Nothobranchius furzeri: one gene and its partner. The protein of the gene in region 1 binds, or shares a complex with, the protein of each later gene. Links are inferred from orthologs where the notes say so. Each region holds a gene or a part of one and is shown in the gene's direction. Other genes may lie near its edges.

Region 1 (3,922 bases):
GAACCATCTACACACACACACATCAACTCATCAATATACACGATGAGCTTTGTAAATAGTGTACTATACCTTTTGTTTCTTCTCATAGAGGGTTTTGGCTTTATTTGTTTGTTCAACATGCCTTATTTTGTATAGTTAAGTCTCGAATGGCTAACTGAAAATGTTCTCAACAATGAGTGTTAGTTGGAAACCACCTTGTTAACTGTTTTCTGTTGGCTTAAAGAGCTGCGATGCATAAACCTCATCCATCCACTCACCTTTAGTTCTACACACACAGAGCAGGAAGTGTTGACTTTCTTTTTTTTTTAAATCTTTTTGCTGGTGGTAGGCTTTTGTTTTCACTAAAATGGAGAGTGAATTTGTTCAGATTTAGGTGATTTTTGATGGTGCAGGCTCAAAAAGAGCTGGAGTCTGTGCAGTGGAGCTGAGCTGATCGGGGCAAATTGGTGTCTAATTAGGATCCTAGTTAAAAAGGCAGTTGGGGTAAATAAGTTTCCTTTTTGTTTAACACTCCAGAAGATTTGGTAAGAGATGCATATATTGTCCTATAAGGACAAGCTTTATATATTAATCACATGAATTTTGACAGATTAATTGGGTGGTGAACATCTTCAATAGCACTGAATAGGAGTTAACCAGTCCATTGTGTAAGCCTGAACTATGTTTGTCAAATTACATTTTAAAAAAAGGGTTTTTTGGTCACGTATTAGGTTTTTGTGACATTTATAGCCACACAATTGGCTGTTTCTACCACCTATTAACCTTCTAATAAATGCCCATGGAGGTCAAACTCATCCCAGCAAGACTTTGGTACGCCGCGACACTTTGAGATTATAAACAAATCTTGGACAAGCTTTTAACTATGCAATAAAGTCTAATTTGCCTACAAACCCCTGTTTTTAAGCTGAATATGTGAGCTTAATCATTGCTCAGTCTGCTTTTCTATTTTACTGCACTACAAAGGCTTTTATTATCACGTTCACTAGTTTCTGGTTCAAACACAACTCACTGATTGGTGCACGGGTGGATATGAATTTGCAGAATGGTTTGATGATAATTTTACTCCGGTCAGCTCAGCTCCTCTCTAACAAGTCTGTAATTGTTGTTGGATATAACAGCATACTTTATATTTGATGAAACTGTTTCAGAGAAGAACAACAGAGCTGTGTAAATAGTTTGACTCATGTTTGAAGAACAAAATAAATACTAAATAAACCACATTTATCTGTCAGAACTGTTTATTTAAAGATTTAATTCTTGCGAAATATTTGCATATCAAAATGTATGAAAAAAAATGTTAGAGGAAAAAGTCAGATTTTTTGTCTTGTTTATTTTATTTTTTGAATGTCATTTAGTTTATTAAAACGTATCACATTCACATTAGGTGTTCCTAACATCCGTAAAACAACTAAATTGAGCGTTTTCTTAAGCGAATATAGTCTAAACATGATTCATTCTCCTTTAGGAAGTCCACTAATTATGTAACCTGCTCTAGCAACGTTCTAAAACGGAAGTCTCGCGATACTTTAGGACACATGGCCGCCTACGGTGTTTACAACTTCTCGCAATGAGCTGCTGAACTGACAACTAAGTTATCTACCTCTGAGACCTCGTCTAGTTTTGTAGAATTTGTTTTCGTCTAAAATTAAAAACCGCTGAGTGGAAAACAGCGAAGCATCAACGCTCAGGCGAAGCACAACGCAGGTAGGTAGCAACAACCCGTTAGCTCGGTCAATGCTAACCTGAGCAAACACAGTGTAGCGGTCTCTGTTAGTGGTCCAAAACGTGACTCAAAGGTGTTTTTACTTTATTTACATGAATGTTGTGGACTTGAAGTTAAATAGACGACGGCTGTTGTAACAAGTTGTCGGGTTTGCTAAAAATGAACACGAAGGCTCGTTAAAGTAGCTACAGGTGTTGGAACATCCGTGTTTATGCCTCTTTAATTTTATAATTATTATAATTAAGGTGCACTAATGATGAAACTTTGTATAAAAGTTAAAACTTAAAATTTAAGTAGTTGTAGTCGTCACAAACTTCACATACGTTCAACCCGACCTTTCCATGCATTTTGCTATAGTAACAGATTACGTTTCTAAAATGTTAGCTGGTCTTTTAAAGTTAAAATAATTGTATAAAAAATAGCCTTTCTCACGCTCTTATTTTGAAATGGTCAGTTTTCTAGAATCTGGTCTGGAATCACAATCCTGTTACCTGTTTATCTCAGGTGGGTGATGTCATCAAACCCCGACAGACTCAATCGTCCACACTGCAGGAAGAAGCACTATCCTAGTAGCACCTACCTCACCCACGTCTGACAGCACTCTCCCAGCAGGACAAAAAGACACCAGACAGAGGAGGACAGAGACACAGCCATGTCTGACTCAGCCGGAGGTGGGGAGGGTGGAGGCCTGGCGGGTGCAGACTCTGAAGCAGACAGCGAGCCCCCTCCACAGGCCTCACTGAGACGTTGTGAGTCTGTAGAAGTCGGAGAGACTTCAGAGGAGGGGTTCCCACCTTCTGCCAAACGGTCCAGGAGGAGTGAGGAGGAGCTGGGACAAGATGCGGTCCCATCACAAGGTGGTGTGTTAGAAAACCCTGCTGCATCTGCACAAAGTAAAGTCCTGTTCATATGAAGTTATACACATTAGAGTTGAAACTTACATATATCATTTATATAGTTTCTTCTGTTCTGTTTAAAGCAACAATAGAACAAAGGTGTGAGGAGGAAGAGGGGGCTGAGGAAGACGTGGCAGCAGGTCATCTGAATGGAGCCAAAGCTCCTGATGATGCAGAGGAAACTGAGACAAAACCAGAAGAGGAGGAGGCGCTCAACGAGAATGAATCTGTAGGCAGCCCTGCTGCAGGACAGCAGTGAGTTCAAATAATGTTTTATTTTTCTGTTTTCTTAAAGCGAGGGTAACGATACAGCAGACTAGGGCTGAAACGATTCCTCGAGTACCTCGAATAATTGGAGTACAAAAATCCTCGAGTCAAATTCTCTGCCTCGAGGCTTCGTTTCATTCATGTTTAATTAATTCATGGCTTTGCAATCGCCCGGGGTCATGTTTCACCCAGACCGAAATAAGTGACGCACATACATACTGCACTGAATGCACACGCGAGTAGCGGACGCTACTGAACTTTCTTTTAAGCCATGGCGAACAACGTGGACCCCGGTGGAGTGCGAAAAAGACAGAAAATGTCAAAGGTGTGGGACCATTTTTCACGTCGTAAGGCGGAAAACGTACTCTAGTTTAAAAACTGTAAAATGGATTTAGCCTACCACAACACCACATCCTCGATGCTGCAGCACCTGACCAGGAAACATCCACATGTAAATGTCACTTCTGCAAGCGGACTCGGAGCCTCTACAAGATAATGCATTTTAGCCTGTATTTCTATATATTCTGCAGACACTGTGACTTTTTCGTTTGTAGCACTCAGTTTCAGCTCACACCGTGCGTCTGGTAGCAACACGTCGGTCTTAAAATGTGCTAAAAATAGCAGTTTTTACAACACGTCGGACTTTTTATTGTGTTGTTATTGATGTCCGTTGTCCCTCAGGATTGCTGCAGGAGGACACGGGTATTTATGAGTGGCGGAGGAAAACGAAAGAAAGTAAATAAATGTTTTGTGAACAGTATAATTTGACATAACAACGGCAAACATGCTTTCGACAATCCTTGTTATTGTGTGAGACAAAAAAGTGTAGAAATTAAAACGGACGGGTGTTAATAGGGAAACAGCTGGCGAGCCATGTTTGCGCATGCGCCGTGAGCGGTTCTGGTTCTGTTTGGGCCGCAGCCGCTCTCATTTGTTTACAGTTGAAGTGCTGAAGTTTTGAAAACTAAATTTGAATAAAACTTGAAGAATAACTGGCAATTGCGGGCTCATTTTAAGAGGTCTTTCATATTTTATA
Region 2 (3,922 bases), on another chromosome or scaffold:
AGGGTTGTCACGGTATGAAAATTTAACCTCACGGTTATTGTGACCAAAATTATCACGGTTTTCGGTATTATCGCGGTATTTTTTAAACGGTGTTGCATATGTTCAGAAAGCATTGATAGTCCTGTTCTACACAAACTGAAATAGTTCTGTAAAGGTTTAACAATGTTTATTAAACCTAAAATAACACAAAGCCTTAGCAAAAGTGCAACTTTTCAGAAGTAAAGAACAAATAGCTTATTTTTCTGGAACATGTTACAGTAGTCAGTGCAGGTTTAAATTATACAAATCCAAACATTCGAAACATAAACAATATGTAAACAAATCAAAGAAACACCACTTGTTTTCTCATATACTTGTTTTCTTCATTATCAAAATGAAAATCTAAAACTCCAGTCCACACTTGACTTGAGCACTGTACAAGTCAACCTTAAAAAAATATGTATTTAAAATAAATAGCCACTTTAAACAAATTACTAAAATAACTACTACACTATGTAATCAAATCCAAATGTTCAAGTATAAATGGCATTGAATAAGTAAACAAATCAATGACAAGGAACTAACTGTATATTTCTCTTCATCATCAACAAATAAGATGCTTCATCCAGCAACAGGTGTCCGTGACACGGTTTAAATGCTGGCAGAGGACGCTGCGGCTGCAGTATATAGTGACTCGTTGCATTCTCCCTCAACCAAAAGTCCTCACGTCATGCATTTAAGCTAAAATGCTAATGTTAACTTACCTTGCACTGGCTGTAGAGACGTGGGTGATGGTCACGCAGATGTGCCATTCGATTCGAAGTGTTGCTGCCTTTTGCAGACACTTGTTTCCTGCACGTTCTGCAAACGGGATAGCAGTCTTCTATTAACTGTCCCTCAGCATTTTTCAGAAATCCAAAATATGCCCATACTTCCGATTTAGTCTTCTTTGACGGCTGATGGATGTCCTGGGCGCTGCCGTCTCCTCCTTCGGCCATTATTTCAGCTTCAAAGTTTTGGTGCCGTTGCAAACTAAAAAGTGCGTGTGCGCGCCGCGGGAACTTCAGCTGAAGCGACGGTGGCTGGTAAGGGTCACCGCGCCGAAACCGCGGCCACGGTAAACCCACCGAGATAATATAGTTTTTTAAAAACTGGACGGTTATTTTTATTGTCAACTTTTTTACCGGGGTTTACCGCTATACCGGTTACCGTGACAACCCTAGTGATAACACAAAAGTAAATTTCTAATTTTGATAAGAAAATAACGTTTGAATTAAACACTCAATGTGACTTTTAAACAACAGCGTTGGTCTTAAAGAGCAAGTTACCCCCTACCAGATTCTTACTCAACTCCCACTTCCTGTTTGAAAAATGCAACAAATGCTGTTGCCTAGCAGACCGAGAGGGCGGAGCCGCTAACAAATACACACACACACAGGCTCACAACGACATTGTGACATCGTATGGTACCAGCTAATCAATTCAATTTAAAAATACTTTATTAATCCCAGAGGGAAATTAGAGTTTCAGTACACACAATTCTGAGATCAGACATGCATACATGGACACATGACAAGAATTGGTGACTGTGGTCATTTGCAACCCGAGTCGCGCTATCGTAATAGATCAAGAGGGTTAATATGAGGATAGAGTCAGGGGGAGGGAAAAAAGGCACTTCAGTTACCCTCAACACAGAGGGCAGCTTTGCAATGCAAAAAAAAAAAACCACCTCAGACAGATATGCACAGACTTTAGACATTACACAACACAAGTGTCCACTAGGTGGGGAGGTAGGGTTGGGACTCTCCTCACTTCAGTGCGTGCAGCCACATGGAGCAGCATTCATCACCTCCGCTTGGACAGGAGAGGGAGATAATGGGTTAGAGGGCACATTTGACTCCTAGATACGGTTCCACAACCTTCACCGGTCACAGTCCCGCCCAGGCTGGGATAGGGAGAATGTTTCCATAGCGACGGGCCGGCAGCATTCCACATTTCTTCTGTGAGGGGAGTATTCACTTCAGCCTCACAGGCTCCAAGGGCACCAGATTCAGATAAAAATTGTTTTGGGGACAGACAGATGATTTCCTCTCTTCCTTAGTGTTCTGTTGGTCTTCAACCCCTCTAGATCCAGCATTGGCATAATTAATCTAATGTTCTAGGGTACCTCTTAGCCAATAGAGATTTGGCAGATTTAAGTTCAAATGCAGTGCAGAGTTTTTACCTGACAACGGCACAACACTGACAGTTTTAGGCAGAAAATTAAAATTTTAACTAAAATCCACAAAAGTGCAAAACTATTGACTACACGTGTCTGCAGACCGATTAGATATGCATTTATATAGTTTCTAAAAAAAAAAAGTTGATTTGGGGGTGACTTGCTCTTTAAGCTGAGGATTTTATGTGATCACCAAAAATCCCAGCGACTAGAATTTATTTAATAAAGAATTTGAATTTAGCTGAAGAAATGTGAAAGAAAGTTTAAAAATGACACGACACCAAGGATAGACAAAGCTGACCGTCTTCAGCGTAATCGTTCCACGGTTCTGTTTTACCTTGGTGATGAAAGGCTGTAAAATGACCCACCGTGTGTGTGTTTTCCTGACACCTTCATTTACAGACTTGAGAAGAATGTCTTTCAGAGGAGGAGGCGGGCGGGGAGGTGGGCGAGGTGGTGGGAGAGGGGGAGGTTTTAACCGAGGTGGTGGATTCAGAGGTGGTGGAGGATTCGGACGAGGAGGTGGAAGAGGTGGTTTTAACAGGCAGCAGGACTACGGTCCTCCAGAGTACGTCGTCGGTAAGTAGACTGTTGTTCCTATTTGGCAGATTGAAGCAACATTCACACTGCATGTCTTAACGCTCCATTCCATTTTTGTTTGTGTGGTTGTTGAAATTGTGCCTCAAATGTGACACCAACACTCTTCAGTGTGAACGTAGCCTGTTTTCTTATAAAGCCTGTATCCACGGCTCAACAGACCAGTCAGAAAATGACTGGATTAGACTGCAGTTTGAATTTTAAAGGTATGTTTTTTTGTTTTCTGAAACTCATCGTTGTGTTTCTACTCCACAGCTGTTGGAGAATTCATGCATCCCTGTGAGGATGATATTGTATGCAAGTGTACAACAGAAGAAAGCAAAGTTCCCTATTTCAATGCCCCGGTGTACTTGGAAAACAAAGAGCAGATTGGAAAAGTGGATGAGATATTCGGCCAGCTCAGGGACTTTGTATCCTTTCTTGTGTGTTTTTTTGAGTCATCTGTGTAAAATGATTAAAACACTATTGGTTTTTTTTAAGCTTCCTGATAATTAAATTCCCTAACTAATGTGTGCGCAGTATTTTTCTGTAAAATTGTCTGAAAATTTGAAGGCATCGTCGTTCAAGAAAATGCAGAAGGTAACTGATGAGAACAAGAACGTTTTCAGATACTGAACTCGGATACTTCTGCAGGTTGTGATATTTGTTAAAATTGGGTTTTCAGTTTTACATAGACCCGATGAAGCTACTCCCATTGCAAAGATTCCTGCCTCGGCCCCCAGGAGAGAAAGGCCCGCCAAGAGGAGGAAGGGGAGGCGGCAGAGGTGGAGGAAGAGGCGGTCGTGGAGGTGAGTCATTTCAGATGTTTAGTCCTTTTTGGTCTTTTGCTTTAAAGTTTTTTAGGATGGTTTTTGTTTCTACTAAACCAATTTCCGGTTATTTGAACAGCTTGTAAAAGTGGTGTGATTTTTTTTGTTGTTGTTAATTTCAGGTGGTTTCCGGGGTGGCAGGGGTGGAGGATTTGGAGGTGGGCGTGGTGGGGGGTTTGGAGGTGGACGTGGTGGTGGTGGTGGAGGAGGTTTCAGGGGAAGAGGAGGTGGAGGACGTGGATTCAGAGGTTGGAGCATTGTTATTGTTACCGATTTCTAGTTTTCATTTTATCATCTGGTGTTAATTGTTGTCACGTGG

What was found.
Region 2: wrap53 (region 1) and gar1 share a complex: the UniProt entries of both Homo sapiens proteins name them as parts of the telomerase holoenzyme complex. The link is inferred for Nothobranchius furzeri from reciprocal best matches to the Homo sapiens genes WRAP53 and GAR1.

The regions. Positions count from the first base shown.
Region 1 is NC_091742.1:83,818,203-83,822,124, reverse strand, and holds the start of wrap53 (telomerase Cajal body protein 1), read left to right. Parts: upstream 1-1,492; 5' UTR 1,493-1,704; intron 1,705-2,227; exon of another isoform or gene 2,228-2,335; 5' UTR 2,336-2,375; coding exon 2,376-2,616; intron 2,617-2,702; coding exon 2,703-2,874; intron 2,875-3,922. UniProt on the Homo sapiens protein: RNA chaperone that plays a key role in telomere maintenance and RNA localization to Cajal bodies. Specifically recognizes and binds the Cajal body box (CAB box) present in both small Cajal body RNAs (scaRNAs) and telomerase RNA template component (TERC).
Region 2 is NC_091741.1:77,351,246-77,355,167, forward strand, and holds the start of gar1 (H/ACA ribonucleoprotein complex subunit 1), read left to right. Parts: upstream 1-1,393; 5' UTR 1,394-2,541; coding exon 2,542-2,776; intron 2,777-3,049; coding exon 3,050-3,204; intron 3,205-3,313; coding exon 3,314-3,373; intron 3,374-3,458; coding exon 3,459-3,582; intron 3,583-3,725; coding exon 3,726-3,851; intron 3,852-3,922. UniProt on the Homo sapiens protein: Required for ribosome biogenesis and telomere maintenance. Part of the H/ACA small nucleolar ribonucleoprotein (H/ACA snoRNP) complex, which catalyzes pseudouridylation of rRNA.